Oryzias latipes: one gene and its partner. The protein of the gene in region 1 interacts with the protein of each later gene in a pairwise test. Links are inferred from orthologs where the notes say so. Each region holds a gene or a part of one and is shown in the gene's direction. Other genes may lie near its edges.

What was found.
Region 2: the proteins of poli (region 1) and rev1 interact in a two-hybrid assay, tested with the Homo sapiens proteins (2 studies listed by BioGRID). The link is inferred for Oryzias latipes from reciprocal best matches to the Homo sapiens genes POLI and REV1.

What each region holds. Positions count from the first base shown.
Region 1 is NC_019867.2:1,943,870-1,948,263, reverse strand, and holds the start of poli (DNA polymerase iota), read left to right. Parts: upstream 1-1,534; 5' UTR 1,535-1,662; coding exon 1,663-1,747; intron 1,748-1,824; coding exon 1,825-1,944; intron 1,945-2,586; exon of another isoform or gene 2,587-2,632; coding exon 2,633-2,797; intron 2,798-2,912; coding exon 2,913-3,059; intron 3,060-3,201; coding exon 3,202-3,438; intron 3,439-3,514; coding exon 3,515-3,693; intron 3,694-4,347; coding exon 4,348-4,394. UniProt on the Homo sapiens protein: Error-prone DNA polymerase specifically involved in DNA repair. Plays an important role in translesion synthesis, where the normal high-fidelity DNA polymerases cannot proceed and DNA synthesis stalls. Favors Hoogsteen base-pairing in the active site.
Region 2 is NC_019879.2:9,987,703-9,991,960, forward strand, and holds the start of rev1 (DNA repair protein REV1), read left to right. Parts: upstream 1-1,333; 5' UTR 1,334-1,597; coding exon 1,598-1,755; intron 1,756-4,258. UniProt on the Homo sapiens protein: Deoxycytidyl transferase involved in DNA repair. Transfers a dCMP residue from dCTP to the 3'-end of a DNA primer in a template-dependent reaction.

The sequences.
Region 1 (4,394 bases):
AAAACACAAAAAATGTCCGTGTCCGGAACAGTTAGTTTTAAAAAAAAAGTAAAAATTATGTACGACTGAGTTTTAGGGCCAGTTTACAAAAAAAAAAAAAAAAAAAAAAACTTTAAAGTCGTGATTAAAACAAGAGGAAATATTACCATGAATATTCCTAAATTTGTTAGAAAAAAGTAATCCGCAAATTTAGGATAAAAAAGTAGGACTTTAAATCTCGTAATACTACTTTTGTTTTGGGTGGCCCTAAAACTCCATCATAATTATGAAATCATATTGCATTCATTTGAAAAAGAGAATCTGAGGTTTTTCGGGATACTTTTGTTTGCGTTTTTTTTCCCCAGTGGATCGTAAGATAATTTTTTTTTTTAAAGTGTATTGCATTCAATTGTAAATGAAAAAAGATCATTCAAATCTTTTCCACATTTTCATTCGAACATGTTTAAGAACTACAAACAGGCTGGGCTCTAACCTCATCTGCTCATGGAAATTATAAGATGAGCAGAAAATGTGTTCTTCTTTTCTTTTATAATATGTTTTAGATTTTTTTTTAATACATGAAACGTTTTTTGTGTTTGTTTGCTTGTTTTAATTAAATGCAAAATGTTTCCATACTTTCATACTATGGAAGCACTTGTGTCTCATAATTAAAAATGAAAGTCAGTACCAGAAATGCCTTTTCATTTTCACAACAAAGCTGCGTTTGTTGACTTTGTTTGACAATTCAAGAAGAAAAAGAAAAAGCAGTTTGGCAGATTGATTTTTCATTTTATTTTTGAGTTGACAAACGCAGCTTCATTGTGAAAAGGAAAAACTGTTAATCTGTTAATCCATTTTAATTGTCAAATTAGATATTTCTAGTTGAATGTTGATACACATTTACTAGAGAACTTTTTGAAAATGAAATGTCAAACACCATTCTCTTTATCCTTTTATTAAAGGTGACAGATTAAACTTTGTTGAAGAAACGAAAATGCCGTTTGGCAGATTGATTTTTCATTTTCTTTTAAATAGATAGATATAGATAGATAGATAGATAGATAGATAGATAGATAGATAGATAGATAGATAGATAGATAGATAGATAGATAGATAGATAGATAGATAGATAGATAGATAGATAGATAGATAGATAGATAGATAGATAGATAGATAGATAGATAGATAGATAGATAGATAGACAACTTTATTTATCAATGGGGGAGGTTCCCGCATGGAAATTGACATCTCCATCGCATACAGCACTGGTTGACATACGTATATGAAAGAGCAGTACAGTATCCAGAAAAATTAGAACAGTAAAAACAGTAACAGTTTAAATATCTGCAGAACAGCATATACAAAAAAAAGTCATTCAGGCCCTTTCCCTTTCCTTTTCTGTCCCCCTCCCCCTTTAAGTCAACAAATGCAGCTTTATTGTGAAAATGAAAAAGCATTTCTAGTACCGACTTTTATTTTTTAATTATGCTACACAAACGCTTCCATACATGGCTTTCTTAAGGAGGGGGGAAATAGGAAATCCAGGTTCGTCTTCCACACCAGTTGGTGGCGGTAATGAGCTTCTTAGCTGTTTTGGCGCCGCTATTTCAACCACAGAAGAAGAACCCTGGCTGAATCTTTTACACTTCAGATGTTTTTACAAACTTTAGACTCATAAATAAAATGGACAGCAGCGATGAAGAGATGGACGGAGACGATGGCCAGTGGAGGAGCCAGTTCACGGGTCCAGAAGAACCCGCCACTTCCGGTAAACTCTGAAGCTTTAAGCTAGCCCGTGTCGGAGCTCGCGGCTGTCATGAACTTCAGTTGTGTCTCCGTTTTCAGGATGGAGCGTAAATAATCCTCCAGGAGCTCCTCACAGAGTAATTCTCCACTTTGACCTGGACTGTTTCTACGCTCAGGTGGAGATGATCAGAGATCCTTCTCTGAGGGAGGTTCCTTTAGGTAAATTCTCTGTTTTAGGCAATTTTCCACCGTTTTCTTGTTTCTGCTGCAGTTTTCTTTTTTGATTTCAGATTCCCGCCTTTCATGGAGTTTTTTTCTTCTTCATTTTATTCCATTTAGATGACATTTTACCGTTATGACCATTTATGGACATTATATAATTGCACTTCCCCACTAAATAATAAATTTATTTCCATTTGACATTTAATATTTAATGGATTAAGTGTAGTTTTTAATATTTCTGTGTATAATTAAAGGTAATTATAATGACCTCATTAACATGTGGATATATTTATATGGAGATTAATGTAGGCTACATGTGTGTCTATAAATATATTTGTGTATATTTCTATACCATCTTTTTCTTTAAAGGTTTTTTCCAGTTGTTTCATAGCAAATAACCCTAAGTTCTAATGTATTTATGTACAGATAAGTATTTATTTAGTTTACTTTTTTCTGTTTTAAATTCCAGATTAACCGCACTAGAGCAATCTGGAATAAACTGGATTAAAGCAAAAACACAGGAACAAAACTTTGTTAAACATAAATGTATAAACTTAATTTAAAGGACGAACAATACATTGTAACAGATAGGAAATCTCAGAGCAAAACTCAGTATCCAGGTGTGACTTAGTTATATACCTCTTAGAATTTAAAGTTGCTCAAACGATGACGTCTGTGTCCTCAGGCATCCAGCAGAAGTACATCATCGTCACCTGTAATTACGTGGCGAGGGAGCGCGGCGTCACCAAGCTGATGTCTGTAACCGATGCCAAAGAAAAATGTCCAGAGCTGGTTCTGGTCCGAGGAGAAGACCTGACGCTCTACAGAGAGGCTTCCCATCAAGTGACAGGCAGGAATCTGGAGCCGTTCTTAGGCTAATTAAAAACAGATCTACAGGATCAGATTGTGGAGAAGAGCGATCCTGAGACTCTGATTGACTTTACCTGCCGTTTTCCTCCTCTCAGAGCTGCTGTCGTCTTTCTGTCCTTTGGTGGAGAGACTTGGCTTTGACGAAAACTTCATGGACGTCACAGAGATGGTGGAAAGGCGGATGAAGGAGACGCCGCCGCCTGAAGGATATTCGTTTTCTGGACACGTCTACAACCCTTCCAGTGAGTTGGACTCGCATCGCTGCTGCAAACCGTCGCTGTCAGGAAACTGAGAGGAACTTGCAAATCAGGATATTTGCATGAGAATCTCGGTTTCTTTCCTGCAAGCGGTCCGTTTTTTGCAGAACGCCATGCCTCTGTGCAGACGCAGAGATCAGCGGCAGCGACCACCCGCGGCTGGCTTTGGGCTCCTACATCGCGGCCGAGCTGAGGGACGCGGTCCACAGCAGACTGGGCCTGACGGGCTGCGCCGGCGTCGCCACCAACAAGCTGCTGGCCAAGCTGGTTTCAGGCACCTTCAAGCCCAACCAGCAGACGGTCCTGCTGCCGGAGGACGTCGGCCACATCATGGAGTCACTGGGCGGAGTTCGGAAAGTTCCAGGTACGGAAAGATGGCCTCCTAAAAAGCAAACCTGTGGCGTGTTTGAGAAACTGTTCAACCTGGACGCTGCCCTCAGGTGTGGGGCATCAAACGGCTAAAAAACTCCACCAGCTGGGCGTGGTTAGCGTGAAGGACCTGCAGCTCCTCCCACTGCCTGACTTGGTGAAGGAGTTCGGAGGCGCTGTTGCTCGGCGCCTGAGGAATCTCTCCCTGGGTGTTGATGACTCACCTGTCACCCCCAGCGGGGCTCCCCAGGTGAGTCGGGACATTCGCTGAGCTTCTGACAAAAATACAGACTTTGATTAGATCAAAAAAGTAAAATATATACCACACAGTTTTTTTTCTTTTTTAAATGACTTTAATATGATAAAACGAATGATATCTGATTGAACACAGACAAAGGAAATGTGTCAGTTCTGGTTGTTTTTGATCTCAGTGCGGCATTTGTCCATTGGTAATTTCACATCTGAGCTAGCAGAAATTATATGTGGAGTTCCCCAAGGCTCCATCCTGGGGCCACTTTTTCTATTTAGCATTAACATCAGGGCTAATATATATATGTACATATAGTTTATATTTATACTTTTTCTAAAGTTTTTATTTGAATAATCACCCCTTTAATATTCTTGTTAAATATTTCTTTAAATTTTTTTGCCTGGAATTATTTTTGATCCCAAAATCACCCGAGTTAACGACATCATTTTTACTTTTCTTACAAAATAAAAGTCTTGTTTCTGTGATTCTGATACTTAAAGAGTTTCATTGTTGATTGAGGAGCAAACAAATAGATTTATTGACACTGTTTTCTATTACATTATTTTCTATATGATTTTATTTTATTGAGGTTCAAAGGAGTGAATGAAGAACTGAAGCTTCATCTAAAAACTCCTGTCGTGTTTTGTGCTTCAGTCTCTCAGCGATGAAGATTCCTTCAAGAAGATGAGCTCCGAGGCCGA
Region 2 (4,258 bases), on another chromosome or scaffold:
TCCATGCAGCTTGCAGGACTTAGCAGTGTGTAAAGGAAGAAGCCGCAACAGGTCAAAGTGGGAAAAGGCTGCACAAAACCTTCTAAAGGATTAACATGCATCAATTTCATTCTCACGGATGAAGTAACCTGAGGAGCTGTGTTGTGTATGACTGAGATTTTAAGTCATTTGCCAAACATACGTTTTGTGGAAAATGTCATTTTACTTATATTTGAATTCCTTTTTTTTCTTTTTTGAGCGCAGGATTCAAGTTAGGAAATACAATGTGTAAGAATAAAATCAACAAATTATTTTTTAAAAATCCCAAAAAGTTTGAAAATTTCTGCCAACTAGGTGTGTGAACGTTTTTTAAACCTTTTTTTTAACTGTGCAATATTTTTGAATTGTAGAATTTTTTTGAAAAATAAGAAAAAATCATTAAATACAAATGTGAAGAATGAATTATTTGTCTTTGTTTATTCTTTGATTTTAACCCCTTGAAGCATTGAAAGCAAATACTCATAACTTAACATGTTTCCCAGAGAAACATGTTAAGTGTATTTTTAAGGAGTGTAGCTCAGGTAAAACAGTCAACAACAATTTCATATCCAAAGTTCTACTTGAAAAGCATGAAAGCACAATAGAAAATATGTATTTGTCTTTTTAATTAACATTGTTTTACAACTTTAGTTAGAAGAATTTTTTTAGTCTTACTACTTAAATTGTTTTGTAAAAAGAATAATTTGTTGTAAATGTTAACAAATTGTGAAATAATTTGACACAGAATATTCAAATTTCAAATAATATTCATAAACGCTGGGGATCATTTACAATTTTTATTAGTTTTGTAACTTTTTTGATTTTTTTGCAAACTAGTTTTACTGAAGTATCACATGAAGAAAATATCCTTTTGCTGTTTTTCTTTTTCTCTGACCCACAAACCCTTGTAGCTTCATCTCATCTGAAAACACTTTGGTTCCACTGAGAGGCTGGTCCTAAATTTTGTTTACTTCACTGATTTTAAACAACATTTTACAAGGAAGTATTTTACATTCTTAGTCATTTTTTCATATTAAAAAGATATAAATGATGCATGTTTGTCTGTCAAAAACAAACTCACATGGTCTCTGGAGGGGACTGGAGTCACTTCCTGCTTCACCGACATAAAGCATCAGATGTCTGGTACCATAGCAACAGAGACTAACCAATCACAGGCTCCGTTGGAAATGTGTCAACAGCATCCTCTTTTCAATACAAAATTTCCTTCCCACTCATTCATTTCAAGAGCTATATGTTCGTTTATTTGTTTTTTTCGAAAATAACAGTCTTCTGATCCATTTGTGTAAAAAATTATTTTTTTATTTTAATAGTTTATTTTCAAGGCTCGAACATGGAGAATGATTTAGACTACATGTATGTGCAGGTTGTTGTGGTGGAGATCACGAGCAGAGGATGTTTTTCCACGGAGACAGTGTTAGATGACTGCTGTCATGGACCCGTGACGCTGCTGCTGGCTCGAGCAAACTGCACGTGCCTCTGCGTCACGGCGGTCCGGTTGCCTTCGCAACGGGATGGAGCCGCCTGAGGACAATGGTTGCCAACAGTCAAAACAAAGACAATGAAAAAAAGAAGCAATGAAAAGAAAAGAACAGTGGAAATGGTGGACACTAGACTGGTATCAATGGAAAAGGGAAACGATCAGTGTCATTGGATGAATACTATTATTAAGCAACAGAAAAACGGGGCTGCGTGTGAACGACTGCGGGGTCACAGCAGGTAAACAACGCGGCCGTACTTTGGTCAAAACTGTTGAGCCTCTCAACTGTTGTACAAAGAAGAGACGTGTTCTCTGGTGTCCGCTTAGAGGCGGTATTACTACTCAACTTGAAAGCGGAAAAAAAGACAGGAGGACAATTATCAAGCTAGCTGTAGTCGACAAAACCGGAGGTTGAGCTCTATTATTTTTCAAAAGAAAAGAACTGGGCAACAGAAGCGATGTTTTCAGACCAGGTTTTTACCAAAGGTTTTCCAAATCTTAAGGAGCCACCAGTCCTGCTTTGCAGCAAGTTAAATCCTGTAGTTTGATTTTATTTTTGCTTGACTTCTCCTTTTCAAAATTAGTTTACATTTAATATTGAAGCAACATATATAATATGAGCAACATGTATAGTATTATACACGGTAAAAAGATTTCAAATATCTAGGAAACATACAGACAGACAAACTTTTATGTATGTTAAAGGACCAGAAATTCATCTTTCAACATGGCAGAACACACAGAAATAAAATTAAATGAATACAACTGAAAAAATAAAATTATTAAAATATCTAGGGGGAAAAAATTCATAAAAAGTAACTGTGGGCCTTGTGTCTTTTATTTTGAAAGCGACTTCCCCGGAAGCCTGAATACAGCGGCTGCTGACAGGCGCCCAGAAAGAAAAAGAGAAGGCAAATGGATCAGGCGGTTGAAATGGAGAGCGAATGGATTGGGAGGGTGCGCAGAAATATTCAAGAGACATGGCGTGGCAGCGTGACACAATAAAGGAATTCCAGCTAACGGTGGGACTCGTCTGAATAATAAAGCCAAGGGGTCGAGCTGAGCGGAGGGTTTCCATTTCGCCGCGGTCTTACCTCGTTTAACCTGAGCAGCACAGCAGCGCTTTCACAACGGCTCAGTATCTGCAGGGAGAAGTGTGTGACCAACAACGTCGCCTGACAGCAAAAAAGGTAGCAAAAATGACAAAACCTGGTGACTTCTCCTGATAAACAGTCACTCAACCCCATTCTTTGATTACGACCCTATTACTTACGGTGTTGAAGTTGCACAGTCCGCCACCCTCTTCGTTGTTTAGCTCCTTCTCGCCAGGTTTGTTAGCAAGTGCAGTTAAAACATTTCCAGATTAGGCTGTATGGAAATAAAACGATGTTTTCATGCATTGGCGCGCGCCGGATAGCACGGCGATACATTTCTTACATTTGCTATGCTAATGTTAGCAGTTGACCTAGCAGCTAGCTCCAAATCTGAAGTGCCACATGGGGCTGTGTTGTGACCGACCTGTCAGAGGGAGGCTGCCCGGGCATGTCTGAGGGCACAGACCTCCCTCCACCACCATGCTGCCCAACATCCCGACCAACCCATGATCACAACAACAGTCTGACCACTTATACACGCAATACATGTGTTTACTCTAACTAAAGTTTGTAAACAGCTAGCCTAAAAATAGGAACACGTTAAGAAGAAAATCCCTAGAATGTAGTAAATTATCTGTCAATGCAGCAAGTTTTTTATACTTAGGAAATGTATATAATATCAACAAGGACTTCAAGTATTTGAAAAGTGAGCTAAAAACCATACTGTTAAATGTGTTAGTGTTGTACAGCCCAATAAAAAGTATTTTTGCTACTTCTATTTCTAAAAATAGGGTTTGTATTTATTGAGTTTTTGTGGACCCAACTGTAGTTCATTTTATTACAGTGACAGAAAAAACGAGTGTAAAAGGTAAAAATTCAATTTTTTTTATTGTGACCCTGAAGTACAAATCATTTACTGCAAAAACATCTTAACAATCACAACAATAAAAATAAAAATAAAAAGCAAAACAAAAAAACACAACTTTTTAGAAATCCAAACAAAATTCCAGAAACCAAAAGCATGATTTCAAAAAAATGAAAAGGTTGGGAATTTCCAGAATTAAAAATGAAAAGTAAATAAAATAAGGATGATGTTGGATATTGATGTTTGATTTTTGACATGAGTTTTTTTTTTTTTTTTTTCAAATGCATCTTCAATGTTTGGTTTTTAATGTTTTTGTTTCAATGTTTGGAAAATGTTTTTGTATAAAATGACAAAAACATTTCAGGAAAACAAAAGTAATTAAGTATAAAAAAGTTAAAAAATAAAACATAATAATAAACCAGAAGATGAAGGAAATCAATTATTATGACTGTTCCTTATTTTAACTGAAAGTTATTTGCCATAAAGCAATACTGGATCATCAGCGATATCCCATAGCACCTACCTTTCCTGGTTTCTTATCGTGTTTCAGTTTATTACATTTTATTTTGATTTCTGGGAATCATAAATTATTTTGTTTCATTTTTTTAAACTGTGTTTTGGTTTGTGGGACTTTGTTTTGATTTTTAAAATGTAATGTTTGTTTGTTTTTTTTTTGGTTTTTTTTGCTCTTTTGTTTTTTCTTAAGACTTTTTTGCATGAAGTGATTTGTTGGTGTGATTTGCACTTCAGGGCCACCGTACCTTTTAGACAAATGTGACCAAA